7 linked regions of the Canis lupus familiaris genome follow. The protein of the gene in region 7 interacts with the protein of the main gene of each other region in a biochemical or structural test. Links are inferred from orthologs where the notes say so. Each region holds a gene or a part of one and is shown on either strand. Other genes may lie near its edges.

Evidence for each region.
Region 1: the proteins of UBE2D3 (region 7) and UBE4B form a complex in vitro, tested with the Homo sapiens proteins (5 studies listed by BioGRID and IntAct, with this or other methods). The link is inferred for Canis lupus familiaris from reciprocal best matches to the Homo sapiens genes UBE2D3 and UBE4B.
Region 2: the proteins of UBE2D3 (region 7) and RNF216 form a complex in vitro, tested with the Homo sapiens proteins (2 studies listed by BioGRID). The link is inferred for Canis lupus familiaris from reciprocal best matches to the Homo sapiens genes UBE2D3 and RNF216.
Region 3: the proteins of UBE2D3 (region 7) and NEDD4 form a complex in vitro, tested with the Homo sapiens proteins (17 studies listed by BioGRID and IntAct, with this or other methods). The link is inferred for Canis lupus familiaris from reciprocal best matches to the Homo sapiens genes UBE2D3 and NEDD4.
Region 4: the proteins of UBE2D3 (region 7) and RNF14 form a complex in vitro, tested with the Homo sapiens proteins (2 studies listed by BioGRID, with this or other methods). The link is inferred for Canis lupus familiaris from reciprocal best matches to the Homo sapiens genes UBE2D3 and RNF14.
Region 5: the proteins of UBE2D3 (region 7) and TRIM33 form a complex in vitro, tested with the Homo sapiens proteins (2 studies listed by BioGRID). The link is inferred for Canis lupus familiaris from reciprocal best matches to the Homo sapiens genes UBE2D3 and TRIM33.
Region 6: the proteins of UBE2D3 (region 7) and ARIH1 form a complex in vitro, tested with the Homo sapiens proteins (2 studies listed by BioGRID). The link is inferred for Canis lupus familiaris from reciprocal best matches to the Homo sapiens genes UBE2D3 and ARIH1.

Annotation. Positions count from the first base shown.
Region 1 is NC_049226.1:63,773,104-63,777,032, reverse strand, and holds part of UBE4B (ubiquitin conjugation factor E4 B), read right to left. Parts: intron 3,532-3,929; coding exon 3,303-3,531; intron 2,844-3,302; coding exon 2,427-2,843; intron 1,782-2,426; exon of another isoform or gene 1,670-1,781; coding exon 1,520-1,669; exon of another isoform or gene 1,495-1,519; intron 161-1,494; exon of another isoform or gene 73-160; intron 1-72. UniProt on the Homo sapiens protein: Ubiquitin-protein ligase that probably functions as an E3 ligase in conjunction with specific E1 and E2 ligases. May also function as an E4 ligase mediating the assembly of polyubiquitin chains on substrates ubiquitinated by another E3 ubiquitin ligase.
Region 2 is NC_049227.1:12,342,609-12,347,042, forward strand, and holds the start of RNF216 (E3 ubiquitin-protein ligase RNF216), read left to right. Parts: upstream 1-1,365; 5' UTR 1,366-1,527; intron 1,528-4,434.
Region 3 is NC_049251.1:21,436,318-21,440,152, forward strand, and holds part of NEDD4 (E3 ubiquitin-protein ligase NEDD4), read right to left. Parts: intron 3,605-3,835; coding exon 3,508-3,604; intron 888-3,507; coding exon 815-887; intron 291-814; coding exon 188-290; 3' UTR 1-187. UniProt on the Homo sapiens protein: E3 ubiquitin-protein ligase which accepts ubiquitin from an E2 ubiquitin-conjugating enzyme in the form of a thioester and then directly transfers the ubiquitin to targeted substrates. Specifically ubiquitinates 'Lys-63' in target proteins.
Region 4 is NC_049223.1:36,055,231-36,059,947, reverse strand, and holds the start of RNF14 (E3 ubiquitin-protein ligase RNF14), read right to left. Parts: upstream 3,164-4,717; 5' UTR 3,060-3,163; intron 2,952-3,059; exon of another isoform or gene 2,860-2,951; intron 211-2,859; exon of another isoform or gene 48-210; intron 34-47; exon of another isoform or gene 1-33. UniProt on the Homo sapiens protein: E3 ubiquitin-protein ligase that plays a key role in the RNF14-RNF25 translation quality control pathway, a pathway that takes place when a ribosome has stalled during translation, and which promotes ubiquitination and degradation of translation factors on stalled ribosomes.
Region 5 is NC_049238.1:52,669,712-52,673,640, forward strand, and holds part of TRIM33 (E3 ubiquitin-protein ligase TRIM33), read right to left. Parts: intron 3,118-3,929; coding exon 2,971-3,117; intron 2,501-2,970; coding exon 2,383-2,500; intron 974-2,382; coding exon 699-973; intron 1-698. UniProt on the Homo sapiens protein: Acts as an E3 ubiquitin-protein ligase. Promotes SMAD4 ubiquitination, nuclear exclusion and degradation via the ubiquitin proteasome pathway. According to PubMed:16751102, does not promote a decrease in the level of endogenous SMAD4.
Region 6 is NC_049251.1:36,366,582-36,371,051, reverse strand, and holds the start of ARIH1 (E3 ubiquitin-protein ligase ARIH1), read right to left. Parts: upstream 3,082-4,470; 5' UTR 2,758-3,081; coding exon 2,386-2,757; intron 1-2,385. UniProt on the Homo sapiens protein: E3 ubiquitin-protein ligase, which catalyzes ubiquitination of target proteins together with ubiquitin-conjugating enzyme E2 UBE2L3.
Region 7 is NC_049253.1:15,659,390-15,663,862, reverse strand, and holds the start of UBE2D3 (ubiquitin-conjugating enzyme E2 D3), read right to left. Parts: upstream 3,073-4,473; 5' UTR 2,910-3,072; exon of another isoform or gene 2,871-2,909; intron 2,761-2,870; exon of another isoform or gene 2,551-2,760; intron 2,543-2,550; exon of another isoform or gene 2,325-2,542; intron 1,610-2,324; 5' UTR 1,477-1,609; coding exon 1,453-1,476; intron 723-1,452; exon of another isoform or gene 326-722; intron 1-325. UniProt on the Homo sapiens protein: Accepts ubiquitin from the E1 complex and catalyzes its covalent attachment to other proteins. In vitro catalyzes 'Lys-11'-, as well as 'Lys-48'-linked polyubiquitination.

The sequences.
Region 1 (3,929 bases), on a different chromosome or scaffold from region 7:
TGATGAAGCAGGTAAGTTCTGGACTCAGGCCCTGCCACATACTGTTATGTGACTGACCTCCTGTCCCCCCAGGTTCCTTACAGTAACTGAGAGGGCTGCTGTGATGATAAAGGGATAACGTATACAGAGTGCTGGCACAGGATCTGGCACACGATGCTCAGTAAGTAGTTGGAGCTATTATACACAGTTATTTCTCCGTGTAGCTATAGCATCTAGATCAGAGACAAGCCTGAGATGCTAGGAGTCTAGTGCTAGTAAAAAGCAGCACACAATCTGGTATCTTTGTGAGAGAGCTAGAATTAAATAGGCCAGGGAGAGAAAGCCTTTCTCTCATAATTTACAGTAAAACAGATAACAAAGCACTTTTATCATTTATGGAAATTGATTCCTAAAGGATGCCTGCTGCATTACTGCAATTGTGCAGTAGGATTTTACCTACATGAAAAAGACACTTCTACCTTTGGGAAATTTACTTGAGAAACAGTAATATAATGTTCAACCTAATACAAATATCAACCTTCCTGAATCAATATTCAACCCTATACCAACATTCCTTTCTCTCTTTATATACTCTAATGATTCTTCTGAACACTGTCAAATTTAATGAAGTGTACCTAACTCCTACTGCCGTCTCTATTTATAGCCTGCAGTTATTTTTGAACAGAGCTGCTGGGCACAAATACCAAATGAGTCCAGTGGAAACTTCGATTTAAGAGCAAAATCGTAAGACACTGAGTCAGAGGTTCAGATAGAAGGTGCTATTAAATTTTCTTGCCCAAAGTCACCTAGAAAACCCAAGCAGTCTTTTTTCAGATGGGTTTCAGGGAGAAACATTCAGCAGCGTCATGAACTAAGTTTTAGCCTCTACTATCATTCCAAAGGCCATCTAAACAGGGGTCTAGCTTCACTGAGGTCAAGGAGGTAATCAGTGAAATTTAAGGTTAGAAGTAAAAGCAGAATAACAGACAGGATGGCCCCATACACTGTTCAACAGATTGTCTGACTGAGCTGGAGGATAGGGGGAAAAAAGACACACATATGCACGCATGATCCCAGTCCCTCTGCCATTCCTAAGTAGCAGCAATCCATGCAACTGTACATAAGAAAACATGCCCCACAGAGTACATGTTGCTCACATGTTGCTCATATCTGGCAGCTCGCAAGGACACTTGCAACAGATAAATGAAGGGTCCCTCATTTCAGATCTTAGGGTGGGTGAGCTTGATGACTTATCTTTAATTTGTTGTTTGTGTTTCTGACAAATGATTACACATAAGTTTTCCTCCAAACTTACCAGGCAACAACAATGAAGATTTTCCTATATGCCACTTTTCCCCATGATAAAGTCCTAATACCTCGGTACATGCAAGTTCCCCACATCTTGATTCTCCAGGCTGTCCCATCTGACCCTATCCTGTTTAGATTCCAAGCACGCCCCTAAATGAGGGCTTATAAAAGTTAGTTCCTAAGCACCTATGCACTATGCACATGCAGGGGTAAGACTCCATTCCTCTGATACCTGGACCCAAACTGGACACAAGAAAACTCATCACCACCACCACCACCTTCATCATCACCATCATCATCATCATCATCATCTTCTTCATCTTCATCACTACTGTCGCCAGAAAGTGCGAGGAAGAGGAAGGAGAAAGGATTGTCGTACATACTACCACAACAAAAGCAAAAAAGGTCATCAGGGAACAAAGGAAAAACAAGAGGTGGAAAAGCTTTTGTAACTGCTGTCTCTTTTTAATTAAATGTTATGCTAAAAGTTCTAATTATTGACATGCAGAAAAATAATTCACCTCAATGACAAAAATGCACAGGTACATTGCAGAGGGGAGGCAGGGGCGGCCCTGGGTTAGTAGAATTCTGCTACTGCTTCTTTCTAAGAGGCTCAAATCAAAGGGTCAAGGCACAAACACTGGTCCATCCCCAGTGATCAGAGGTAAGGGACAAGGGCCCAGACCCACTCCCACCACCCTTTGGGCTGACTGCATTTTGACTCTGATTGACAACAATACAAAGAGCTGAAGAGTGCTCCTGTGAGCTCCAACTCTCAAATACAAACTGCCCACAGCCTCTGGAATTCATTTGTAATAAAGAATGACACATGAACTAGATTTCACAAAATGAAGTGACTTTTTTTTTTTTTTTTGTACAGGAAGGAGGAAGAGTGAGGGGTAAGAACAGAGTAAGGGACACACAGCGGAACACCCACACGTTCTACTGTTATCGAAGCCTGGCAGAAGCATGGACTCGGGGCACAAGCCTACCAAACTAGTTAGACACACAGGTTAATAACCCAAACAGAAAAACACATGTAACTGAGGTCAGCGTCACACACCAGGTTCTTCCAAACAGAGTTAATCGCCTCTCCCTGCACTGCAAACTCACACCCAGCTCTCCTGCTGAATAAATACCTAGGAGAGATCCTTAGGGATGAGGGACGTCTGCTCACGGCACTGGGTGAGGCGGCCACTGAAGGGGGCCCCAGGCTGCTGGGTCTCTGTCTGAGAGAGCTGGCAGGAACCGCTTGAGGGCTACTAGCAAGGGCAGGGAGGCTGGGCGAGCTGGACAGAATGGAGATGCCTGGGGATCGCGGGGTAGGAGAAGTCGAAGACCCCCACGGGTGGGTGACAGTGTAGGGGCGATACCGTGGAGAGGAGGGCTGGCTTCCTGTGGCAGTTCCAGAGGCCATGCCACCATGCGGGCTGAGGGAAATGGAGGGCACAACCATCTGGCCAGCCACACGGGCAGGGGGGGAGGCAAAGGATGGACTCATCACTGGCACCGAGCTCCAGAAACTTGTACTGGGAGCTGGGCTAGTTTCATAGAGGCTAAATCAGTGGAGAAAGAGAGGAAAGAAGAGAAAAATGAAGAAAAACTTGAGGTAAATATCTAAAACGGAAAATATCAAGCTTTTAAAGAACAGCACAATGACACTTCGTATCTCTAAGCATTCAAGTGTACAAATCTTTCAGATACTCATCAAACTAGTTATAATCTAATTACCATAGTGATCTAGAGGCTGCATTTACAGTATGAGAAAGCCATCTTTCCAAAGAATAATGTACTGTATACAGTCATTTGTTTCTAAAATTTACTGAAAGCCAAACCATGGGAAGCCAAACAAACCAATCTGGAAAAGACAAGACCTTCAGCCATGACTAGAGGCACCCACCCAGAAAGAACACATACCACAACCTGACAAAGGCCTGTGAGCCAGCAGTCCCTTCTCTTACATAATTCATGGCTGTTTTACTACCAAATAGATGTGCAAAAGGAACCGCACTAACCTAGAGAAAGAGCTGGCACCAAAGGAACCCACACCACAGAACATGGGGCTTGTTCCTGGGTTAGAGCCAGTAGTGAGCATTAGATTCCTGTCTGGTGACCGAGCTGCTGCTGCAATTGGCTGTGATGTGGCTGTCAGACTGGCAAATGGATTTTCATCTCTAGTCTGCGTAGACATCATTAGCACTTCCATTAAAATCTGGCCAATCAAGTCCTTAAAATCAGAGAACACTGTTGGAAAGGGAGAATAAAGAAGAGGTTACACATGGTTCTTTATATACATAGTTCTTGAATCAGCCAAGTTGAACCAGAGGTTCAATGGGGTATCTGGATTGGATTCTGGAACAGTAAAAAGACATTAATAGAAAACCTGGGGGCCCCTGAGTGGCTCAGCGGTTCAGCATCTGGGCATGATCCTGGAGTCCCAAGATTGAGTCCTGCATTGGGCTCCCTGCATGGAGCCTGCTTCTTCCTCACCCTCTGCCTCTGCCTCTATGTCTCTCTCATGAATAAATAAAATAAAATCTTAAAAAAAAAAAAAAAAAAAAGGAAAAGAAAACCTGGTGAAATCCACATGAACTCTGAGCTCAGGTTATGGTAATATCTCACTTTTGACAAATACACTATGG
Region 2 (4,434 bases), on a different chromosome or scaffold from region 7:
ACTGATCGTTCGTTCTCTACTCTCTCCTTCACAAATCTTCTCCCAGATCTTTTCCCTGACCTCGCCCTCAGCTAAGGTCCCTCCTTATCATTTCCCTGAGGTTCAGTTGCATCATCTTGTGTCTCTGAGTAGCATTGGGCAACACCGATCATTGCCTTCTTGTCGAAACACTTTGTCTCTTGGGCCTCTGAGATACCATACTCTCCTGGTTTTCCTCCGCAGCATCCTCTAGATTCCAAATGTTTAAGTGACCCTGAAGTCTGTCCTCAGCTGTCCTCTCCCCTCTATCTACACTCATTACCTAGGTGTGAGTGTAGCTAGTCTGATGGCTTCATACGTTATCTCTATCTCAGTGATTCCTAGTTTAAATCCCTAGCCTGAGTGATCCTGTCTTTCTGAAGCTGCAGACTCATATATCCAAATGCTGACTGACGTCTCTAATTTGAAGGTGTCGTTGGCAATTTCACACGTCCAAAACACATTTACTTCTCCCTACTCTGACCAAAATCTGTTCTTCCCAATCTCCCCCCATATTTATGACTGAAACCCCATTCATCCAGTTGCACGTTCCAAAAACCTTGCAGTTACCCTTTCCCTCTCACCTCACATCCAATCCATCTGCAAATCTCTCCGTTCTACTTGAAAAAAAAAAAAAATCCCTACTCTGATCATTCCCCCCTCCCCCTCCTTCCTGACCATACTAGTTAAGGTCACCATTGGGTATTATTTAGACTCCTATAATCTCTTCCTAACTAGCATTCCTCTGATTAAGACCTCCTTATGTCATTTCGTTTTCTGCTCAAACGTCCCTCTTTAGAAGACTTCATGACCGCATTGGCATCCCCATCACTCTCTACCCCTTCCTCTGCTCTATTTTTCTTGTGTTGTTCCCCCCCCAACCCTTCCTGCCTGAGCCAGTATTTTAGTGCGTTTGTTATATATCTATCCACTAAAAGATTAACTTGGGGAGAACAGGGGCCCTCTATATCGTTGTATGCCCAATTCCTACAACAGTGCCTGGCACACAGGAAGCTCTTTGAAAAATAGGTGTTGGATGAATGACCTGCCAAAGGCAAGGGGTGCAAATAAATGCATATCCAATAGCTTTCCATGGGCATCTGCTCCCCCCTACCCCACATTCCCCCGCCTCCACTCTTTTCATCCCTAGGGAGACAGGCGACACTTCCTGAGGTTGGGGGAAGGGCCCCTCAGTTTCCTTCGTCCTCCCACCTCGTGGGGGAGTCAAGACTCAGTGGGCGGTGAGCGGCCAGACGTCCCTCTCTATGGTCTTACTCTCCAGGCCCCTCCTCCCTAGCACCCGGCGTGCCTCTATGGTTCTTCCTGTCATTAGTCGGGAGGGGGCGCTGTGCGCAGGCGCGGGGTGAAGTCGCGGCGGGGCCGGAAGGAGTGCAGCGGCGGCCTCGGCGGCGGCGGCAACGAAGCTGTCGGCGGCCGCTTCTGGTGACTAAAAGCTGTGGCGACAGAAGCCGCCGAGCCCGCTTGGCGAGCCGGCGAGCTGAGTGGCGAGTAAGTGTCGGCCGCGGGGCGCGCCCAGCTCCTCGGCAGGCCGCGTGAGGCGAGTGGCGTCTCAGCCCAGCGCCTCCATTAAGCCCCAGGGTGGGGGCGGGGGCGGGGGCGGGGGCCTCGGCTGTGAGGGGCGGCGGGGCCGCGGAGTCGGGGGCGCGGGCCTGGCCCGGCGGCCTCCCGCAGGCGAGCGGGCCCGGAGCCGCGCGGGGCCCCGCCGAGGGCCGGGCGGCGCGAGCAGCGGGGCTGGCGGTGAGGCGGGAGCCACAAAGGCGGCGGCGGCGGCTGGCGGACGCTCCCCCGCGCCCGCCACTTCGGGAAGTTTCGCGGGCCGGTCCCTCGGCCTGCTGCGCGAGGGCGAACGCGCCGAAAGACCCGAGTTTCCCGGCGGCACCTCGCGGGAGGCGGCGTCGGTGGAGCCGAGCGCGGCCTGGAGCGCGCGGGCGGTGATGCACTGGGACTCTGAACTCCGGCGTCCCCCTTCACCCCCCCACCCCCCCGGGGCCCAGGGGCGTCGGGCCTCAGTCCCCAACCCTCCCGACTCGGTTCAGGAGCGCCGTCTTGTCGGGAAAGCCGGCGGCTCCCACCCAGCCCTCGTGAAGACATGCAAGTGCGTCAAAACCCTCTGCAGCGCGGGGAAGGCGAACCCGACAAATGTGCCTGGAGCGCCGCGCAGTGAACGAGACCGGCGTTCCCGCGTGGGACGTGGCTGGAGACTGCGTGGAACGACGGTCTCAAAACTTTGGGCCACTTCAGTCCTGTGCGAGACCCCCCCCCCCCCGTCTCGCCCACCGGCGCCCCCCCCCCCCCCCCCCCCCCCCCCCAGTGCCTGCGTTGTGATAAGTGCCCGGGTATGGCTTGTCCATCCAAGTCACTTTGCTAATGCAAAGAGAAGATTTTTTTTTACCCTGCAGGGAACTGGGAGAAGACAGGGAAGATTTTAGGACCGACCTCAATTTTAGCACGCTTGCCTGAAAAAAGACTGCCAAGAAACAGCCTTGCTTTGTTCTATTTGTTGTATAGGTAATTTATTGGGGCTCGGGGTACAGACTGGTGTGAAACTGAGGAAATCGCTGGAGAACTGGAGCCAGATTTGGGATCTCCCCCCTTAAACCTAAATAGAGGCTAGCGGGCAGCAAGTTTTTTTTTTTTTTTTTTTTTTTTTTTAAACCTGCCTTCCAGCCCGAATGGAGAAATCTAATAAAGGAAGTTGAAATTTGAGTCAAGAAGACTGAAAGTTTATGAAATAGGGTCGATGAGAGCACCTGAGTTTGCTGACCCTGATGGCTTCTATTTAATGAGTAGTTGCTATATTCTAGGCTGTGTTAAGGTCTTTTCAGACCTCATAACTAATTCTCATAGCTGGCAATATTTTACTTTTCTTGTCAGTAAGACAAACATGATGCTAGTAACTATGCTAGGTATTGTTCTAAGCATTTTTTAATGTAATAACTCCTCTAATCTTCAGTAATGGGGGTTCCGTTATTATTTTAAAAGGAAGAAAACGAGGTACTGAAAAATAAGTAGTCAAAAAACTCCCACAGAGCTGGGACTTGAATTCAGTTTGGTTCCATAGCTCATGCTCCTCCTACTAATTACTTTGCCATCCCTGTAGATGATATTTATTCGAAAAGTTCTTCTGGAGTATTTACTTTGTGCCAAGCAGTATGTCCTGCGGCTAATGGAATGAATAAGATGTCGGGTCCTCCATCCTTGGAACTTGTTTTAGCAGATAGCTATTTAATGTAGCTTTCTAAGTATTTGTAGATTATTATTGTGCCAAGTACTTTGAAAGATTGAGATATATTGTGTGAGTGAACAATGGGGATGGTTAGGTGTTTCTTTTTTTTTTTTCTTTTTTTTTTTTAAGATTTATTTATTTATGATAGACATAGAGAGAGAGGCAGGTTCCATGCTGGGAGCCCGACGCACGAGACTCGATCCTGGGACTCCAGGATCGCGCCCTGGGCCAAAGGCAGGCGCTAAACTGCTGAGCCACCCAGGGATCCTCCTGGTTAGGTATTTTTGAGGAAGTGATATTTAAGATAAGAAACTCAAAGATGAATGGAGTTAATTTGGTCAGAAAGAGGCAGTGAAAAATAATCAGCCAGCCAGAGGTAAGAGGAAGGAGCATGGCCCGTTCAAGGCCCTGAAAGAATGGTGAATGGAGGAGAGGTGTATGGTGAGGCTAGCTATGTCAGCAATGGTCCTACGAGGCAGCGTTTCACAGGCCACGAAATTTTGGTTCTATGACGAAATCTTATGATTTAAAAGAAACAGCACCTCAGTGCCAAATGAAAATAAGTGGGAGAGTAGAACCTATAGGCACTTTTGGGGTGGCAGGGGCAGCTTATCATGAATTCACAGAGGATTCACCTCTAAAAAGATTGAAAACCATGATCCCCCCCTTGTGAATAAGGATGTGCTTGCTTATTTCAGTTTCTGAACCAATTTTCGGTTGACATTTGAGGAAAATCATAAGGTTATATGTTAAACTCTTTAACCTACCTAGTGAAGATTCTGAGTTTAATTTTTGGGTTAAAACCCTTCCCATTGTGGGCAGCCCGGGTGGCTCAGCAGTTTAGTGCCGCCTTCAGCCCAGGGTGTGATCCTGGAGACCTGTGCCTATCTCTCTCTCTCTCCTCTCTCTCTCTCTCTCTCTCTCTCTCTCTCTTTCTCTCTTTCTCTCGAATAAATAAACACAATCTTTAAAAAAAAAAAAAAACTTTCCCATTGTAAAAAGACACTGATAAGAGGATTTTTAGGATTCTTGTAAACTCTGATAACACTCCAGACTAATTGCCCACATAATTATATCTGTAATTATGGATGCTATTTTACCTTTCATTTTGTCTGCATATTAAAATATACACACATTACGTTTTCTTACTCTGAACTCATCACCTGCTT
Region 3 (3,835 bases), on a different chromosome or scaffold from region 7:
ATTATCTAAAAGTGAATGAAATAACAGTAAGGTTGTCATACTGCTTCTTCTAATACTTTTATCGGGTTTTTCTCCACTATCTGGGAAGAAACAAAGGCCAAGTTGTAGTAGTTCCCTGGAAAATTTTAAGTCAAGATTTTGCTTAGACAAAAGTGGCAGTGAAACACTCTAGGTTGTTACTTGGAATCTAATCAACGCCATCAAAGCCTTGAGTGTTCTCAATTGCCATCTGCAGTTTATCCCATAATTCTTCAAATGATTCATAGGGTGGCAAGTCCAAGCGATTAAAGCTGAAAGAACAGAGAGGACCTGGTTACGACAGACATTGACAAAGCAAGTGCCATGGTGGCCAATGATAATGCTATTCGTGATGTGTTCAACAATACTAGAAGGCATTTTATCACCAGAGGAGAAGGAAGATACAGTACTGGGCTCTAGGCATGGACTCATCCCATGACGTCTTGGTGCTGTCCTCTCTCACTCCCACTTTGACCTCCAAATGTCTGGGTTCCTCTGTTAATTTAACCTCCCAAAGGGTATGTTCTAGCTTCTCTTGGGATGACCCATCATTCATGTGATGGTGGGCCACACATGGTCCATGGGTGAGATGGGCCTCTCCACTGTTCAGTTTCCTGGTCTCCAAGCCCAGGCCTGCCAGGCAAAGACATACCTGATCTGCATTGTTTCTGCCTTCTTCTCCCCCTCCTCCATAGCTGCCACTGACACAGAGCAGGCTAGACCTTCTGTACCCAGACTGTTAGAGGAGCTTCACTCTCTGAAAACGTGTTCTCTAAGGGTCGAAAAAACTGCTTACCATGTATGGGCTCTTGGCAGCTTTTCCGGGGTACCCCACTGTTCAACTGTAAATGACTGTGGTCCATTTGAGCCTGCAAAGAAAAGAGTTGCTTTGGTCTCATTTATTCTTTATAGGAATCCCTAAAATTTCACAACTCATTTTTTCCAGTGTAGAACTTAAACATACTGATCTATGAACATACTACTAATAGTGAACATACTACTAATGAACATACATACTAATCTTAAACCTACTAATCTAGTTTCTTTAAACTCACAGAAGGCTGTGGTGTCCTTGATGGCTTCATTTTCCAGCCACGAGATGAAGCTTCCTTCCTAGCAACTCACGCATGGTCACCATATCACTGGGCCTCTAGGGTACCAGAGCTCTAGGACTTTTGCTGTGTGCTAGCCCTGTGTCTCCACATGACCATCTCCTTCACAGGTACACAGAGAAAATAAATATTTTCTTTTTTTTTTCCAGTCCTGCTGAAAATAGCTTTATTTTTTTCTGATTATCTAGTCTCAGTGCAAGGAAATTAAAGCAATAGGGAAAAAATAATGAAGGGAGTAAAAATCACCTCAAAGTCCACTCTCAAATCTGAGTAAACCTTCTATCATGGATCATTGTGTGTGTGTATAAATGGAATTTTGTGTGAAGGTAAGCATGTGATCCATGCTGCATTTTTCTTTTATTATGGACACTTTCAGAAACTTTCTTTTCTTTTCTTTTTTTCAGAAACTTTTTTCTTTGAAGTTTGCACTTAGTTCTCCCTTCCCTCCAGTCTCAACATCCTCCAATCACTCAGGTAATCAGTGCTGACAACCCAATGCAGAACCTTCTATACTTTTCCCCATGTCTTATAGTCATACCTAATTATGTGTGTGAGTATAACTGCCAGAAGCAGCACTAAATATACTGGATATTCTTGATATTACAGTTTTCTCAAAAAGCATTGTTTTTCACACATCACACATCATAATTACGTTCAGTTAAAATTTCAGTATTCTTGTCATGGTTTTCCATAATATGGGATCGTACATATTTCCCTGCCTCTTGACTCTCTCACCTAAATAATCCATTGTGAACACTCCCTTTAAGTCAACTAAGACACCCTTTTATTGAATAGATAATACTGTATTATAATATTAACAGCTTGAAGTGACTTCTTTTTGAAAATGCATAAGAATTTGAATTATATTCTAATACTACCAAGTCTGGCCCCATGTGTGGGATATTTCCCCCAAATTCCAAACAATTCATGAAACCAATGGATGGCTGTAGGCCCGGACTGCATAAAAGGAGGACGTGGAGCTAGACATGGAAAGGGGTGTTCAGCCTGCCTTGATCTTTCCCTACTGTAACTGGCTAAAATATGGGAGAAGAAAAGGAGAGGAAGTCACAGGAAACCACTGAAAAGACAAATGCAAAGAAATCCAGTTGGGCAAGCAGGGGCACATTTATTAGGGCACAGCTCCTATCTCATTCTTCTCACTGAGCATGGTGACTCTAGGTGAGGAAGCAACAGCTGCTTGACAGGTGCTGCAAACAGATACACATGGAACTTAAGGAGATCAGGTTTGGGATCCCTGGGTGGCGCAGCGGTTTGGCGCCTGCCTTTGGCCCAGGGCGCGATCCTGGAGACCTGGGATCGAGTCCCACGTCGGGCTCCCGGTGCATGGAGCCTGCTTCTCCCTCTGCCTGTGTCTCTGCCTCTCTCTCTCTGTGTGTGACTATCATAAATAAATAAAAAATAAAAAAAAAAAAAAAAAGGAGATCAGGTTTGCCAAGGAGATGGACGGGGCTGGTGATCCCGTCAGACAGCAGCAGCTTTCTCTTTGCATGAAAAATTCAGCTCAGCAACTACTGAGGCTGCAGTTCTGACTTGTAGTTTCCAGAACAATTCTAAACTTTGCTGTTGCTCTGAGCAGGGCTCCAACCTGAGCTACACCTTCCCTGAAAGATGTATTCCTCTTAGTATCTTTAAAAGCAAGTAAATGTCATTCCAACAAATAGCTGATTTGAGAAAAGTTGATCCATATCAGAAACAGCAGGTTTGTTTGTTTCTTTCAAAACACACCTCTAAATATATCCACTAGAAAACAGTTTGATAGGATATGCAGAATTTCACTTTATAGAAAGCTCCATTAATAGTAACTATTCTGAATATTGAAAGATATGTAGTCTTGTCCCTAGTCCTGCACATACACAAACATCATACACACACACCACACGCATGCGCGCACGTGCGCGCGCACACACATATACATCTTCCATGATCAAATAAGTTTTGAAACCCCTTTTTTTCATAGTAAAGGTTCTGAATGTATTTTCCTCAAATGTATTCTACTATGGAACTCTGTTTCCTGCTGAATACTTACTAACATTCTGTGGGACGTTACATGTTGCCCTAAACCATCACCCCACAGACAATGCTCTTTCTGTGATGGAATATGTAGCAGGAATCAAATTTAAAATTCAAGAATGGAAAGTAACTCGAGGCATTTCATGTTTTATCCTTTGGTATCTGATTAGAAGGTGTACATATATTCTGGCCTACTTCAGTGTATCTCAGTAAATCATTTAAAACCCTTAATTCTTTTTTATTAAGCCCAGTGTTTGTATAAATGAAAGAAGCTTGACAACTAATCAGCAATAAAAAAGACAAGTGGCATCACTCCATTTTTTAATGATCTGCAGCAAATTCTTACCATAGAGTTCAGCAAATCCATTCATAGGCACTCGAGATGTACCAGTGACAAACTGAAGTAATCTTATTCTTTTTTCTGAATCCATCATTAGAACAGCCTGAATAAGAGAAAAACAGCATTTAGGTACATCCCTAGGAAAAAAAGTAACAGAACTATCTTAAAAAATATGTTATCAGAATTTAATTATGGTATTAATGATCCATTATTAAATTTACATATATCTGTTAGTTACATTTGTGTTTCTGGGTGGCTTACAGAATTCCTAAAAACACAGAGTAACTCTGTGGGATGAGATCACAGCCTAATAAAGTGACAAAAATATCTTTTT
Region 4 (4,717 bases), on a different chromosome or scaffold from region 7:
GCCGCTCTCCTCCGCCTCGCGCGCCCGGAGCGCGGTCCACACCGTACCTTCCGGCCACTCCGCCGTGCCGAGCCAGAAAGTTCCGCCCTCTGCCCTAGCCCGGGTCCCCTCGCCGCCACCGCCGGGCCGGCCCGGAGACGCCCGGCTCAACCAGGGCTCGCACCGCCTCTTCCGCGTAGGGAGCTGTCAGCTGAGCCGGGCGGATCCGGCTGGGGCGGCCCGGCGAGGAGTGGGCTTCGCGCAGGCGCCGTGGCCGCCCCGGTCCCTCGGTCGCCCCCTGCAGGCCAAAGGCGGCGCTGCCGGCGCGGTCCCGTCACCGCGCCCCACACGCGGCCCTGGCAAGTTGATACAAACGCAGCTTCTGTGCCCCCGGGGCTCCTTCTTTTCAGTAGTTCCGGGATGCGCTCGGGAATTAGAAGTTTTGCCAACCCTTAGAGGTGAGGGGAGGCCATGGTCTATCCACGACAGATCTGCTCCTCCGGGCCGACTAAGCAGGTTGCCCATTTCTGTGGTACCTCCTCTAGGAGAGCATTCACCATTGTTATTACCGCACTTATTGAGCAGTTAGGACGCTTCAAGCGCTTTGCTAAGTGCTTTACATACATTTTCTCTTTATCTTCACCATAACCTTATGATTATTCCCATTTTATTAATGAGGACATTGAAACGTAGAGATGTTCGGGAATTTATTTTATTTTTTTAAAGATTTTTTTATGTATTTATTTATTCATAGAGACAGAGACAGAGAGGCGGAGGCACAGACAGGGAGCCCGACGTGGGACTCGATCCGAGGTCTCCAGGATCACGCCCTGGGCTGCAGGCGGCGCTAAACCGCTGCGCCACCGGGGCTGCCCCGCTGTTGGGGAATTTACCAAATGGTAGGTGATTATTGAGAGGCTGAGAGGGAATTAAAATTACATGCCCTCTACCTCACACCATATGCATAAAGTAACTCAAAATTGATCAAAGATCGAGATGTAAGAGCTAAAACTGTAAAACTCTTAAAAGAAAATGTGAGAATAAGTCTTCATGAACTTGGGTCAGGCAAGAGTTTTTTAGTTACAAAACCAAAAGCACAAGCAACAAAAGAAAGAAAGAGATAAATTGGACTCAACACAATAAAGAATGTTTATGCTTCAAAGTACACTATCAAGAGAGTGAGAAGACAACCTACAGAATAGGAGTATTTGCAAATCATTTATCTAATATTCAGGATATAAAAAGAATTTCTGTAACTCAACAATAAAAGAGACAATCCAGTTTTAAATGTGTTTAAGTTTTAACCATGTTTGTAGCATGGGCAAAGGATCTGAATAGACATTTCTTCAAAGAAGACATACAAATGGTTCAGAAGCATATGAAAAGATGTTCAACATCATTAGTCATTGGGGAAATGCAAATCAAAACCACCATGAGAAACCACACGCACTAGGATGGCTATAATAAAAAGACAGGTTGGGATGCCTGGGTGGCTCAGTGGTTGAGCGTCTGCCTTTGGTTCAGGGCGTGATCCCATAGTCCTGGGATCGAGTCTCACATCAGGCTTCCTGCATGGAGCCTGCTTCTCCCTCTGCCTATGTCTCTGCCTCTCTTTGTGTCTCTCATGAATGAATAAATAAAATCTTAAAAAAAAAAAAAAGTTAAACACAGAGTTTCAGTAAGACCCAGAAATTCTACTCCTAAGTATATATCCAAGAGAGTTGAAAACATATGTTCACACAAAAACTTGTACACATATGCACAACTACATTTGTACACTGGTACATATTTATTTGCATATAGTATACATAAATGTTCACTATAGCTGCAGTATTCACAATTGCCAAAAGGTTGAAACAACCTAAATGTCCATCATTAGATAAATTGATAAACTAAATATGGTACATCCTTACAATGAAATATTATTCTGTCATAAAAAAGGAGTGAAATACTGATAAATGCTACAATACGGATGAACCTTAACATTATGCTAAGTGAAAAAGTCAGACACAAAAGGCCACATATTGTATAATTCCAGTTATATGAAATGTCCAGAACAGGCAAATCCATAGGGACAGGAGTGCATGGGAAGTGACTACTAATGGATATGGGGTTAATTTTGGGGGATGAAAATCCTATAGTGGTGAAGGTTGCACAGTTTTGTGACTATACTAAAAACCACTGGGCTGGGGATCCCTGGGTGGCGCAGCGGTTTGGCGCCTGCCTTTGGCCCAGGGCGCGATCCTGGAGACCCGGGATCGAATCCCACATCGGGCTCCCGGTGCATGGAGCCTGCTTCTCCCTCTGCCTGTGTCTCTGCCTCTCTCTCTCTCTCTGTGACTATCATAAGTAAATAAATAAAAATTTAAAAAAAAACCACTGGGCTGTACACTTTTAAAGGGTGAATTTGGGGATATGTGAATTATATCTCAATAAAAAAATTTTAGGTAGTCAGTCCTTATGCGGGATGCTGAAATGTTGGTTCTGGTTCCTGGAAACCATCAAACTAATGTGGCCCTAATGATCTAATAAGCTCCTATGTCCTCTATATCATATACTTCTCCCCCAAGAAAAGTAATTTTCAAGGGTAAACCTCTAATCCAAGCCTACAGGATTCAAAAGGTCTTTACCACCCCTGCCTTCCAGGCAGGATTGGCTTCATGGGTAAGTCACCTGTGTAGTCTCACAGGGCCCTGTTCTCAGGAAGGCCTCAGGCTTGGAAAGGCCCTGCTCTTAGTCTAATGCTCTCCTATGCCTATCTTGAAGTTCTTAATTTTCCAATAAGAAGTGCTCTATTTTTATTCTACACTGAGCCCCACAAAATACAGAACTGGTCATGCACTCAGGAGAGAAGAAAATCAGGACATTGAAGGGGCTTACCTGACTGCGACAGAGGGACAACTTTTGAGATGCAAATAATCACTCATAATTTTCCATACTGTCCAGACCAGACCCAAACCAGAAACATGCTCCTTAAAGATGCAAAGATAGAAGAAGAGTCTATGAAGCCATTCACTAATATCATTACTCATGTTAGGCAAAGGAAGTAAAAGCAAGAGCAAAATGTATGGCAACCCTACCTTTGAGTGTTCACAGGTGAGACTATGAATCCTGCCAGTGACCTCCTAGATGCAAAAAGTGAGGGAGCCTAAGAACCAACTTGGGAAATTCTTACAAATCAGAGCAGGAGGTAAATTATGACATCATGTCATGACCTCATGTCAGAGGTCACAGGATGAAGGGAATAGAAGAGAGAATTTCAAAGCAGTGTTAATAATTTGGACTAGGGCAGCTCGGGTGGCTCAGCGGTTTAGCGCCGCCTTTAGCCCAGGGCCTGATCCTGGAGACCTGGGATTAAGTCCCACCTCAGACTCCCTGCATGGAGCCTGCTTCTCCCTCTACCTGTGTCTCTGCCTCTATCTCTCCCTGTGTCTCTCATGAATAAATAAATAAAATCTTAAATAATAATAATAATAATAATTTGGACTAAATATTTACAGTCCAGTTTTGAGGTCAGGATTGGATAAAGAGAGTTTTCTAATCAATTCTAGTTTTAGGGGGATCCCTGGGTGGTTCAGCGGTTTAGCGCCTGCCTTTGGCCCACAGCGTAATTCTGGAGTCCTGGGATCGAGTCCCACATCAGGCTCCCTGCATGGAGCCTGCTTCTCCCTCTGCCTGTGTCTCTGCCTCTCTCTCTTTCTCTCTGTCTCTCATGAATAAATAAATAAAATCTTTAAAAAAAAATTCTGGTTTCAGACTCAAGAAAAGCAATAGACTTTTGTGTCTTCAGTTTCATGTGCCTGTCTAGTTTTTTAAGTTGAGCTTACCCCGTGGACCCAGCGCTCCACTGTGCTAAGTACTTTACATACATTATGTCACTTATTTATTTTAGTGGGTTTTATTTTTTTATTTTTTTTTTTAGTGGGTTTTAAAAATGTTTATATATTTATTTGATAGAGAGGGTGCATGCTAGTGGGGGGAGGGGCAGAGGGAGAGAATCCTCAAGCAGACTCCTCACTGAGAGCAGAGCCTGACTTGGGGCTGGATCTCATGACCCATGAGATCATGGCCTGAGCTGAAATCAAGAGTTGGACACTCCACTGATTGAACCACCGAGGTGCTCCATGCATGATCTCATTTAAATACCCAGGACCTCATAACTGAGGCAATTTTGTCTCCCAGTTTTACAGATGAGGAAATTGGTGCACCAAGGGGTGAAGTGATTTGACCAGTGTCATACAATGGTGACATGCAGGATTAGGACCAGTTCCTCATCAGTGATTACACTCTTCTGTAAGAGAATTAGGTTTGTTGTAGCAGAAATACAGAGAGAATAAAATAGTTCCTGCCTTCAGAATTAAAGGGGAACACCCTAAGGAAGTCGGGATTAGATTTTATGACATAATGGTAGAGGGAAAGAAACTTACCTCCATTGCCTATCCCCAAGCACAGTAGGTGATGGAGCCTCAGGCCAGAAGAGAATGGGATGTGTGACCTAGAACAGAGGTCAGGGCTCACGTGTGGATAGACCATTGAGTAGAGAAGCAGGAATGAGTCAGAACATGCTGGTTAATGGAGGGACCAGCAGGCTTCTCTCAGTGACAGTCCTTGTTCCCATGCATTACTGGGGCATCCAGTGGGTGTCCAGAGACTTTGTTGAACTCATCCCACCTGCGTGATGTTAATAGTCAACTTTTCAATGGCCACCATTCGTGAGCACCTCTGAAACAAGCCTTGA
Region 5 (3,929 bases), on a different chromosome or scaffold from region 7:
AAAAGTCTAAGTTACATTCTCCCCCATTTCTAGCCTCAATCTCTTTCTCTTGGGGTGTGTGTGTGTAAGACTTATTAACATTAATTTATCCAAACCTGGATTAATGGTTTTGATTTGGATGGGGAAGGGGAGATCAGGAAAGATACAGGGATGGAAATGATTTGAGCAAATGCCTGAAGAACTTATCAGATCAAGGTGCCTGCGTGGTTCAGTCAGTTAAGCGTCCGACTCCCAATTTCTAAGAGGCTAAGGTTGTGATCTCAGGGTCATGGGATCAAGCCCCGTGGGGGGGGGGGGGGGGGGGGGCTCCGTGCTCAGCACTGAATCTACTCCAGATTCCCTCTCACCCTCCCCGCTATCACTGTCTTAAATAAATAAGAACTTACCAGATCTTAGGCAAAAACTATCTAGTTCTCTGGCCCAAAACCACATGTGGAAAACAAAAAATATGATAAAAATTTGTGCTCCTCTATAGTAAGTACAGAGTCAAGTTTGTTTCCCATGTAAGTATTTAATGCCCTTCCTCCCATCTCCCCCAAATCCCTGCCAAACCCAGAGGAAACATTTAAACTCTAACATTTGAGCTTTGTCCTTGCTAGTAACTTTGAAATGTGTAAATTCATCCGTACAGGACAGAAGTATAATCTTGAGGCCTTCATAATCTTTATCAATAATGTCATGCATGATATAATACTCACCTGTTGCTGTAACATCTGCGGGGCTGCTTGTCTAGGGTGCTGCTGTGTTGTTGTTGTTGTTGTTGATACAGGTGCAGGTGGTTGCTGCATCCTCATCTGCTGCAACTGTTGATGTTTCTGTGCATATACTTGTTGTTGCATGTGCTGGAGTCGAAGCTGTGCTAAGTTAATCTGTCCAGGGGTTTTACTAATGTGGTTTGTCCCTGGAGGAACTTGCCCAACTACAACATTAGGAGTATAACCAGGAGCTGGCTTACTCTCTATTACTAGATTACCTGAAGGATTTAAAAAATGAGAATAATTTGCATATAAACGATTAAATTATCTACTTTGTGGATTAGTCACTATCTTTTCCTCTTTCCTTTGACAATTATCAGCACTCAAAGCTTTTGACAGTTCAGCAGAGATAGAAGCTAGGTTTAAAGATAATGAAGATCAGAAACAGTCCAAAGCCAAATAATTGACTTTTGATTATTCAGAATAATATATCGCCTGCCCTTATTCTTTATTTACACAAATGCATAAAAAATTAAAGATATGAAAGAGATATTATCAGAAGAGGCCCATCTAGTCAGTCAAAATCCATTCTCCTAGATTCAAGGAAACCTAAGATTGCTAATGCTGATGCCATTGCCTTTGAATTGCCAAAATCTGCAGGGGAGAGCATGACACTGCTCCAGAACTGTCTTCTGTGGAAACGTGGAATGTTTTAACCACTTATGTCCCTAGAATGACAATTTTCCTTGCCTCTCACAGAGCTCTTGTTTTCTAGGAATAGAAAACAAATTTTAGGAAGGTCTGATGTAAGGCAGAATTGGCAAACATTTCCTTTGATGAGTCAGATAATTTAGGCTTTGTAGGCTACATAAGATCTGTCACATATTCTTTTTTTTTTTTTTCATTTGTTTTTATAACTCTTTAAAATGTGAAAAAAAAAAAACAAAAACAAAAAACTTAGCTGCCATGCCATACAAAAACAGTTTGCTAATGCCTGATCTAAGGCTATAGTAAAATTTTAAAATACACAAAAATTATTTTTTTACAGAAATCTATCCACCTCTGCTTTTACAACTTCCAATGGTGAGGACTTGACTATTTTGAAAGTGACTTTACTCAATGTGTAGACAGTTCTAATCATTGGGAAGTTTTTGGTCTTTGTTTTAAATTGAGCTGTTTGACTCCCTGTAACTTTCACCTGTGGTCCACAGGTCCACACTGAGGAGCAACAGAGTAAAGTCCATTCCTCTTTCGTGTGGAAAAGAGCTAGTCTTAGCTTTCAAACATTCCTCAGTATTTGACTTTCAGACACATCAGCATCCCGTAGGTCCTCCTCCAGTGGATAATTAGTATAACTAATATACAAATTACCAAGCATCTAATAAACTCTTTCAAGAGAATAAAGGCCCATTTGCTAACTTTTCGACATGAAACAGTCATTATCAATTTTAAAAGATGGGGGGGTAGTTAGCAATGATAAACATTTTTTAAATCTAAAATTAGTAGACTTTCAACATTCTTAAAGATGTTATGAACACAGCTCAAGTGAGTTTCCGATGAGGAACATATTTTCCAAGAAGTTTACATGTAAGAGTGAATTTAAATTTTAAGTATCTAAGCTTTGCTTTAGATACTTTCTCCTAATTCAGTGTTCCCAGTTATATTCATGAAACTAATTATTTCTCACCTAAATTGACTACATTCTTTGCCCAGAAGGTGGGATCACAATGGAAACGAATTGCTCCATTAGCAGCAGGCACAGGATCACACCGTGCTTTCAAAATATGGCGCAATTGAAAAGTAATCTTAAAGGAAAAAATTCACATTAGTCTTAAAAATTTAAGTATCACTTGAGAAATCACACATGATAAAGACATTAAAAGCTCATCAAGCCCCACAATGTCAATCTCAGATGAGACAGTACACGATTAAAAGACTATCTATATCAGCAATCAAATGCACATGCTTGAACTTCTGATATTTCTGGTGATAAACTGCATTATGATACCAGGTATTTTCAGGAAAATAAATACTGTCTGGTTCCATTCATATGAGATTCTAGAAAATAAAAGAAATCAGACTAATGGTTGCCTAGGGTCAGGAGTAAAGGGAACAAGGAAGCTTTTGTGGGTGATGGAAATTTTCTGTATCTTAACATAGTGGTGATTACATATGCAAAACTACAAAATCTATACTTTAAAAAAGTGCAGTTAACTGAATATAAGTATATTAATGTCAAGTCAATTTAAAACCATAAATATACTATGTGTCTCACCAGTCGCTTGCTGTACAGTAGTGCTGTGCTGCTGCCACTCGCAATTGCCCAGTTTGTAAAGTTCATAACATGTTTCACCTGTCGGGAAAGGCCTGTGATGTCATTCTGTTGCTGTAGTAACTTCATCTGTCTTTCTTTTGTAACATTCTGAAACAGAACAAGAGTTCAGTGAAGAATTCTATATGAAAATTTCAACTCACGATTCTTATTATAAATGAACAAATTCCTACATTATTTTTTAAAATTAGGATAAGTTGACAAGCACTTCATTATTTAATGAGCTTCTGATCAAAAGAAAAGTCACTAACAAAAGCGGAACTAAAACTTCATTCTCAAAGCTAACAAGGGATATTCCACATACAGAAATTGTTAGTTGATGTTCTCTCTTTTCCTTCAGAAGATAAAATGTCTTTGTTAAAAATAGTATCTATTAGGCTGATCCAACATACAGAATCTATGACACAATGAGCTGACATTTAGAAATTTGATATATTCGTTTCAGACCAAAGAAAATTTTGTGTTACCACTGCCACCTACTGGTGTAGCATGAGGCTAAAGTTAAAATCTATTCCTTTAAATACTTAAGACAAAATGAGAAAGGTAAATTCCAACACTCTAAGAGTACAGTTAGGGAAAGTTTTGAAAAGACAAAAGTTCATAAAGAACAAGAAAGTAAGTAAGAGCTGAAGGACCAATGGGTGGGGGGAGAAATGCTGCAAAGGAAAAATAAACTACCTGGGAACTTAAATTCCCAGAAGCGATAGATGATGTTCTATACACACTTCGACATTAGGTACACCAAACAACGTAACTATAGTTGGTACTTAACCATTTTCTTAATGCCTCAACTTGATTTACTGGACAATTTTTTTCCCTAAGAAAACAAGTTGCTCATTTTGTAATGTAAAACAAGGGATAAAAGTATTCAACTGATAGAAGCTGATTCACAACTTTCCTAG
Region 6 (4,470 bases), on a different chromosome or scaffold from region 7:
GTTTTTGTAATCTGCTTTTTTCTACTGAAAACATAAAAGAGAATATATATAGTATGATCCTGTCGTTATTAAAATATATGTATAGCTCACCCAGAGGTCTAGAAAGAAAACTACAGCTCAAATTTTGTGTATCTCTCTTGGTGTCGATCTCGTTTTTTTTTTTTTCTTGCCTAGTCAGTTTTTTCTTACAGTATGCATGTATTACCAGTGCCACTTTTTTTTTTCAGTGTCACTTTTGAAGCTTAAATCTACGCACATAAAAAAGCCACACCATAACCAAGGCCTAGTTTAGATCTAGTAAGCACACCATTTGGAAAAAAGTGACCTGGGATAGATCCTATTCTTGGATTTACTGATACTTCGAAATAGGAAACTTAACAAGGAATAAATATTTATATATTCAGGAATTCCATTTAAGAGCATCCTTAACAAGAAGTCAGCTAGAAAAAAAGACAGTTTTCAAAAATCAGGCATGGACACCTAAATAAACCCCTGGTATTTTGTGTTTCTTAAATAGTTCAGTTCATCTGCATTTATTCTCTCTCCTCTAAACTAACAAAGAAAGAATGATGTCATATGCATTAGCTACATCTCCGTTCCAGAAGTGACATAAGGAATTTTAAGGTTTAGCCTCAGTGCTTAAGATACACCTAAGAGCTGAGAAAGTTGGATGAGATTTACTACATGAAAACAAACAGTAAGTCAAATAAATTCATTATCCACGAATTTTTAAAACCTAATTAACGTCAAAAAACTAGGTAAGTGTGAAAAGATCAGATTTTACATACTGTAGTGGTAAATAAACGGAAAGAGAATTCAAGGTTTACTCTCAATTCTTTTAATAAAGTTTCCTCAAAAAAAAGTCTCAACTTAGTGGCTTAAGAACTGTCATACTTTTAGAATCCAAAAAAAAAGAACAATAAACTTAATCTTCCTTCTATGTCCCTTCAATTTCCTCCTCAGACTGCAGTATCCATATGAAAGTTTGAGACGTCCACGGTCTACTAGTACCACTATATATCACAGGTTTTTTTTTTTTTTACTATTATTTACCATTTACTTTTTTTTTTTTTTTACTATTATTCAGAGGAGCCTAAATAGATGGCACAATTGGAAGTGCTGCTTACTAGACAATACTGTAAAAATCTGTTAATCATCCCAACTGAACAAGTAGGCAGTGACATACTACTGCCAATTTGCCAGTGAATATTAGTCAACTGATTTTTAAGAAAAAAAAAAAAAAGGAATGACTGACATACAAGAAGCTAATAGTAACTAGCTTCTGTATATAGTTTCCTCACATGTAACTAGTGTTTTCTAAAAGTTGCACTGAATCAAGACGTCATTTTCATTCTACAGTTGTATCCCTCATCATAACTGGATTCCTCCCCCAATCCCCCCAACCAAATGTAAACTTTGGACTTCCTCAAGCTGAGAAATGCAAAACCGGACTCACGATGTTACGTGAGTTGTGGTCATCAACTTGGACCAAGCCTAACTCTCCAAGAAATTCGAAAAAAAAAAAAAATTATCAAGAAAGGAGTTCAGAAGCAGAAAGCCCCTACTTTCTAACTCACAATAGAGCCTAATATCAGACAGTACGCTGCGTTTTGTTTTAGCCGCAAGGCTGGGTATGCAATCTGCAGGGACTCTCCCGACGGCTTCGAGTAAGTGACACGCTACCCCTGGAAAAAGTAGCATTAGGTCCCAAACAAACAGCGAAGGCATTTAAAAAAAGAGAGAGAGAGAGAGAGAGAAGAGCAGAAGCCTCACCATCGTAAAAGAAGGCCCATCAGCACCTCTTCCGAGAAACAGTTCCCTTCCCCCACCTTTAAGTAGGCACTTAAGACTGCCAAGCAGATCCATTTCTTTATTAACTGGTGCCCACTTGGGGCAACCGTACACCAAGCGGCTCTTAGGCCTACTCCAACCCCTTCCAAAAGTGCTCAAGCGAGACTTGGAAGGCCGGGGTAACCCCCGTAGGGGCCGCGTTTTCCTGCTCTCCTCCACCCCCGCCCTCCGGCCCGGCCCGGCCCGGCCCGGCCCGGCCCGGCCCGCCCCGCCCCTGTGGGCGCTCCTCCGGCCGGGGGAAGGACACCGGGCCCGGGGACCCGCAGGGATCGCCCTCCAGCCCGCAGGACGAGCGCTGGGCGGCCCGAGGCCTCCGCCATCGCAGGACCCGGAAAGCGCCGCCCCCAGCGCACCTCCCCACGCCCGGCGAACCGGCGAATGTCTGCTTTCGACACCCTCCGTGCCCAGCAGAGGCGGCGGGGGAGACAGGCCCGGGAGGCGGCGGGCTGGGCTGCGCACCAGGCCCGGGCCTGCCCCGCGGGCCGCCGGGTCCGCTCCCCGGTCGGGTCAAGCCAGCGCGGCGGGCACCCTCACCTGGATGACCTCGTTGACCTCCCGGATACATTCCACCATGTGCTGCAGAATCTGCTCGGCCGTGAGCACCTCGTAGCGGTAGTCCTCCTCCTGCTCGTGCCCCGGCCCGCCGCCGCCGCCGCCGCCGCCGCCGCCGCCGCCGCCGGGCCCCAGCGCGCTGCCGCCGCCGCCGCCCGTCTCCCCGCACAGCAGTCCGTCCCGCTCCCCGCCGACGCCCAGCCCGGGCTCCACCAGCTCCACCTCGCCCAGGTCCAGGTTGTCGTCGTCCGGCTCATCGTCGTCCTCGTCCTCCTCCTCCTCGGCGCCGCTGTCCTCCTCGCTGCACTCCTCGTCCTCGTCGAACTCGTAGTTGTAGCCCTCGTCCGAGTCCATGGCGCGACGCGCGAGGGCCCGGCGGACGCGGCCCTGAGGCGGGGAGAGGGCGGGGACGCCGAGGCCCCGGCTCTCGCTCCGGCTCCGGCTGAGGTCCGGACGCAGGCCTGGCTCCGGCCCCGCGGGCCGCGGCTCCTCCCCGGGCGCGGCGGCGGGCGGCGGGCGGCGGGCGGCGGGCGGCGGCGGCGGCGGCGGCGGGGAGGGCGCGGAGGCGGGAGGGACGGAGCGAGGGGGCTGCTCGCCGCCCGCCTCAGTCAGACGCGGCTCCGCTCCGGCCTCCGAGAGAAAACAGTCCCCAGCGCCACCTCCACGGCCGCTGCTACCGCTACTGAGCCAACAAAGGGGCGTGCGTCACCGCGTCGCGCTGCGTCGTCGCGTCACTCCTCTTGGCGTCACCGCGCCCCGCCCCGCCGCCCCTGCGTGGCGAGCGGGGAGACCCCACGGCCCGGCCTGGCCCCGGGAGCGCGGCGCCGCGGGAATCGCCGGCCCGGTTCCGGCCGCGGCCGCCCCCGAGGGCGGGGCGGGGGGCGGGGCGTGCTCCTGAGAAGGCCCCCGGGCCGGGTGGCGGGTTTTGCCGCAGGCGGGAGGGGTCCAGCCCCGCTCGCTGAATCCAGCCGCGCCACAGACGCTGCCCGCCCGCCCGCCCGCCCCGGAGTCCTTCGGGGAAGTCCGCGGCTGTTGAGCTAAAATTGCCGTTGCCCGAGCTGCTAAATGGAAATCGGTTTCATGCGCAACCTGTGACCTGGGACAGGTGAACCCCCACCCCACTCCCCCCCCCCCTTTCTGAGTAGTTCTGCTTCCGTGCACCCGTACGGATGAGCGAGCGGGGGCTCTGAAGTCGCTGACAGTGACGTCATCTCAGAGGAGGGTTTCCTGACCTCATCGCAGTAGGCACCTGCCTATCCAGGACCCTAAGCGATGTAAACAGTCGGGGCTTTCCTTAACCGAGCGCCGTGCGAGGGCTCAGCCATTCCCTCTGCCTTCTTCGCGGAGCCACAGGACGCGGCCCTCGCGTGTCTGAGGCTCCAGAGGGAAAGGGGCTTGACCGAGGCCACGGAACGCGCCCTGCTTCAGCGGCGGGGTGACCTAGAACGTCAATCGTGGAAACGCTTTATAATGCATGACACAGACCAGGTGCTACACAGTGTATAAAATGCATCGCAATGTAACCCAAGACAAGCAGGAATGGAAGTAACTGCACGGACCGAATGCAGCAGCGAGGCAGTGCTGGCCTCTTATCTAGAAAGGTGTTGTTGTGTCTTCTGCGTGTCGATTGGCGGCCAGGAGTTTAACCGGGGAGGTAGGAGGAGGATCTGGCCTGAGAGAATAACAGAAGCAAAAGCACAGCAGGGGTAAAGTAGTTTCGTTGCAGCAGCTTATAGTGCAGGGAGGGGGGTAAAGGGGAAAACAACAGGCAAGTTAGGGACCAGCACAGTAAGAGTGTTGTTGTTTTTTTTTTTTAAGATTTTATTTATTAAAAAAATAAAAAATAAAAAAAAGATTTTATTTATTGATTGATGAGAGACACACACAGAGAGAGAGGCAGAGACACAGGCAGAGGAAGGAGCAGGCTCCATGCAGGGAGCCCGACGTGGGACTCGATCCTGGGTCTCCAGGGTCAAGCCCTGGGCCGAAGGCAGGTGCTAAAACGCTGAGCCACCCAGGGATCCCAGTAAGAGTGTTTTATGCAATTCTAAGAGTGGACTTAAATCT
Region 7 (4,473 bases):
TCAAGATTTCAGTCTCTTTCATTACACGAAAATCTGAACCATCATCTTTCAGAATACCAGTTTGCTCAAATAAACTCAAAGTCACACATAATTAAAATTAGGCAGCATCAGGTCTACTTAGTACAAGCCAAGTCCCTGCCATGCCTCCCATATAGAACTCCTTTAAAAAAAAGTAACCCATGAAAACCGAAGTTTCTAACCCACAGCCCCCTCGGTCTCCCTAGTTTTTTAGTAAGGCTGAATTTATTCCATGACATTTTTTTCAAGTTAGCTGTAAATACTCCACCCTCCTCGATTGTGCAAGAACCAAATACACCACACATACACAAGTTACAAAAAAGGGAAATGCAGTTTGAGAGTTTGAACATCGAGTCTTCAGCAGGACGTCTCAAGAGCTGTGTACAATCTGATGTAAAAGTTAACATTTAACAAAGAATATTATTTCATATAATGACGAAAGGAGATGCCGGAAAAAGCCTGAACCAGTTAAAGCAGCCGCCATCTTAAAATGCGGGATAGAAGTTAGAGCAAGAAAATGAGACTAAACCACCGGAGGTGAAGGTTCCGCTCACCCGGCGCCCCCCCCAGGCTCGAAAAAACGTATTTCTTTCAACTTCTATCTATCAATAGTTTCTATCAAACCACGTTTCAAGTAGCCAATCATCTCCGAAAGTGTTATAAAATCAGCCGAGACAAAGATAGGTACACCAAACCTTCCCTTACTGCCATCACACCCGTACCGCCCACCCCCCCACCCCCCAGTCAAAAGAAGGGAGCTTCCAGAAGCCTTTTACACCAGTTCGCAGCGTCCCTCTTATAAATTCGAGTGAGAAGTCTCAACTACAAAACATAGGAAGTGGTAACATCGTGTCAGCCCATCTCTTCCCAGCCCCACTTATTCTTGTGTAACCTGCTCAGAGTCGATGAAGTTTAACTAGGTTCAGTCACTACTCTTCAGCCGCCAAGAGACTTCTACACCGACCCCCAATTAGGTTCAGGACCCGCCAGATTTCTATCACCTCCCCTAGGAGTTTCCTACGACTCTTCCCCCTAGAAAACCCGAAAACCTTGATCTTACAGCCAAAGTTCTCAAGCACCGAGACTAGGGAGCGCCATGACATCTGCGGGAGCGTCTCTGGGCAATTCTGACCCTCAAACAAGACTAAAAAACTCTTTTTAGCAGCAAAACCCAAGCGCCTAAAATCACTCTCCCCCACCCCTCATTTGGGCCGACTCCAACTGAAACATACTCAAGATAAACAGCTCATTCGCCACAAGTGTTCTGTTCTCTAGCTTTAAGCCTCCTTTCTTTCCCATCCCCCCCCCCCCCACAGAAGTGACCCAAGGAAAGACGTTTTCCTAATTATACTTCCTCCCCACCCCCACGCTTTCCTCCGAGACCGAGCCTTCGTTTCCTCCCACGACCCCCTTCCCTTCAGCCCCGTGGGTTACCTTATTAATCCGTTTCAGCGCCATAGTCTGTGCTTTTCGTCTGGCTCCTCACTCTCTCGGTGTGTGCTCAAAGGTCCGGCCAAAACTCTTGATTACCCGGGCGGCAGGGAAGGATTGTCTCTCTTCGTCTCACACCGGCTCTGCCAGACACAGGCGCCTTTTGCAAAAACGGAGCAGATCAGCACTCGCACAGGCCCCGGAGAGACCCTGATGAATCCAGGTCCCTTAAAACGGTCGCGATCCGGGGTGGGTGGGGTGGCGTGGCAAAGCCACCAACAGCCTCTATGCCGTGCTTCGGCCCGGAGAGGCGGCGAGGGTGACGGGAAGAGCGGAGGGGGCGGCTACAAGTTTGACTTCCCGGCCTCTCGAAAGAGACCCGGGTGGGAGAGGAAGAGGCGTAGGAGAAAGGGGTGGGTGCGGGGCAGGGTCCGGAGCCCAGCAGAGGAGGAGCCGGGGCCTAGTCGGCGCTGCGCCGGCGTCACTAGGGCGAAGAAAGGCTAGGGGGGAGGGGGAAGACTGGAGGCTCCGGACTGACGCCGGGGTTCTTTCGGTTTCTGCTCAAAGGTGCGGCCCGGAAGGAGAAGGAAATAATAAAGAGACTTGCTGTAGGTTGCCGTCCCCGCAGCCAGAGCTATTCTGTCGGCCCTGACGCCACCGTACACTCCGCCTTCCAGCGCGCTCCCGCACGCGCCCGCCCCGCCACCGCCACCACGCGCCCGAGCTGCCCCTGAGGCTCCGGCTCGGGCGCGAGGACGCGCCCATTCCCCCACCCCCTTGGGCAGGCGAGGCCCCGGCTTCCCCAGCCTTCCCACCCTACCCCACCCAACAGGCTGGTCACTCCAGCCACCCGAGGCCCGGATCTCCCCTCTTACCCGGCCGGCCAGGGGGCCGGCCTCCCTTCCCTTCCCCTAGCCGTCCACACCCACGCGTACAGAGGGGCCGGGGCCTCCCTCAAGCTGCGGCCTCGGCCTCCTCCCCGCGCGGCAGCTGGTGCCTCCCCGGCCCTACGGGGCTCACGCGCACGACACAGCCACAAGATGTCCGCTCTGACGGAACTACTGCCAGCTGCCACGCTCCGCCCCTCCCCCCTCCTCCTGCCTCTTCACCGCCGCGTATCAGTCCGCCAACGCCGCCGTCGCGAGCACAGGACGAAGCGAAGGGGGACGGGGGGACGGTTTACTTCCTACGTCCGGGACCGAGTTGATCTGTGCTACCCCCTCTTCCTTCTTTTCGGAACAGCACCTTCTTACTAAACAGATCGGAGGTTGGACTGGGAGGGCGGGGGCCGGAGGCGGGTCATGGGCTGGGGGGGGGGGGAGGGTGGACGAGCGGCGGAAACCCTCAGACTCAGAGAAGCATCGAGAACCGGAAGGAGACCATGGGAGGAAGGTAATGGAAGCGGCAGCTGCGCGGTCGAGACCCACGCCCCTCCCAGCAGCGTCCCCCAGTTTCCTCACTTGGTATTGAGGCGGCGGATCTCGCGAGAACCTCGTGGCTGGCTAGCCGGAGCGATAGCCCTGCAATGACTTAAGGGCAGTTGCGTGAGCTCTTCCTGTTGGGGGCCCGCCCCCCGAATCTACAAGTTCTCGCGAGATGCAATAGGCACCGGCTGGAGTAGGGGCGGGCCGTCGTCGGGAAGCACCGCCCCTGGATGCTTCTGCTGGTGGGAGGGAGGGGAACTGGAATTCCCCGGACGGGTTGGAGCGCGCGCCGGCGCGTCCGTCCCTCACGCGCCCAATCAGGAATGTGCGGCGGGAGGTGCCACGGGCTAATCACCGGGTACCTTTAGTCCAGGTTGATCCGGGCCTTCCGAGATTTCGGTGGAGCAGGTGAGCAATATATCCGCACTCGCCTGCCCGTGCGGGCTCGTTAACCAGGGGGAGGAGGCACCCCTCAAAGTGCAACACTCGTTGTAAATAGAACCGAGCGGACCGCTGATGAGCGCTCTCACGTGCCGAGACACAGCGCGTTTCTGACCTAGAGGGTCCGTACTGAGGAAAGGGGGCCTCCTAGAGCCCCTCCCAGTCGCAGTCGTCTAGGCATCAGATTCAACTATGGATTAACGTGGAGGGTAGGGAAATAGGGGCAGGCTATTTGCCTGTCACCATCCGCCAGGATTGAGGTACGGGAAGAGACTTAACACCTCCTTCTTCCTCTTGCCGTGTTTCAACTTCTAGGTCCACAGAGTTGCAAAACTCAAAAGATCAGAGTTTTGGGTCAGAAAAACGTATTACTTAACTGAAACATCCGGGGGCGGGCAGAAAGGGAAGAGCAGAATTGGCCTGTTTAATCTGCCGGGTGTAAAATAATGGAGAAGGTGGTTTGGCTCTCTAGGGTATCCTTCAGGCAAAGGGGTGGTACGACAGTAATTTTTAAAAGGATTAAAGGTAAGCGCTGACCTGCTTAAAGTTTTCGAACATTTCCTGACTTAACGAAGTGGATATTTTAAAGAATCAAAGAGGAAAATTAACTTGTTTTTAAAATATAGTTTAAAAAAAAAAGAAAAGCAGCAATTTCTGGTTACAATAAAGTATTACCTAATAAAAGCTAAAGTAGGTCTGTGATGAATGGGCTAATGTATACCGCTTACGTGGTCAGGAGGAGTGTCACTCGAGCAATTGGTGAAACCCTGCTCAAGCTAGTATCTCTGTGAATCAGCTAAGGATTTTGTTCAGAATGTAGATTTTGATGTAGTAGGCCTTGGTGGAGCATGAGATTTCACAGTTTTAACAAACTCCCAGGTGGTACAGATGATTCTGGTCAGAGTACAGCCCCGTGAATAGCAGAGTACTAAAGTGCTCATCACATAGCCTGTTTCCCTTCTCCTAGAATAATCTTTGTTCTCTGATTTAACCGGTCTACTTGAGTAGAAACACAGAATTAGGCAGTTGGGGTGGAGGGTGAAATCCAGGTTTGAGTTCTTGCTCTATTCTCGTTGGTGTGATACTGTGTGGTTGCTTACCATCTTAGTTTCTTCCTACACTGAACTATACATAATAATAGCAGCCTTTTTTTTTTTAC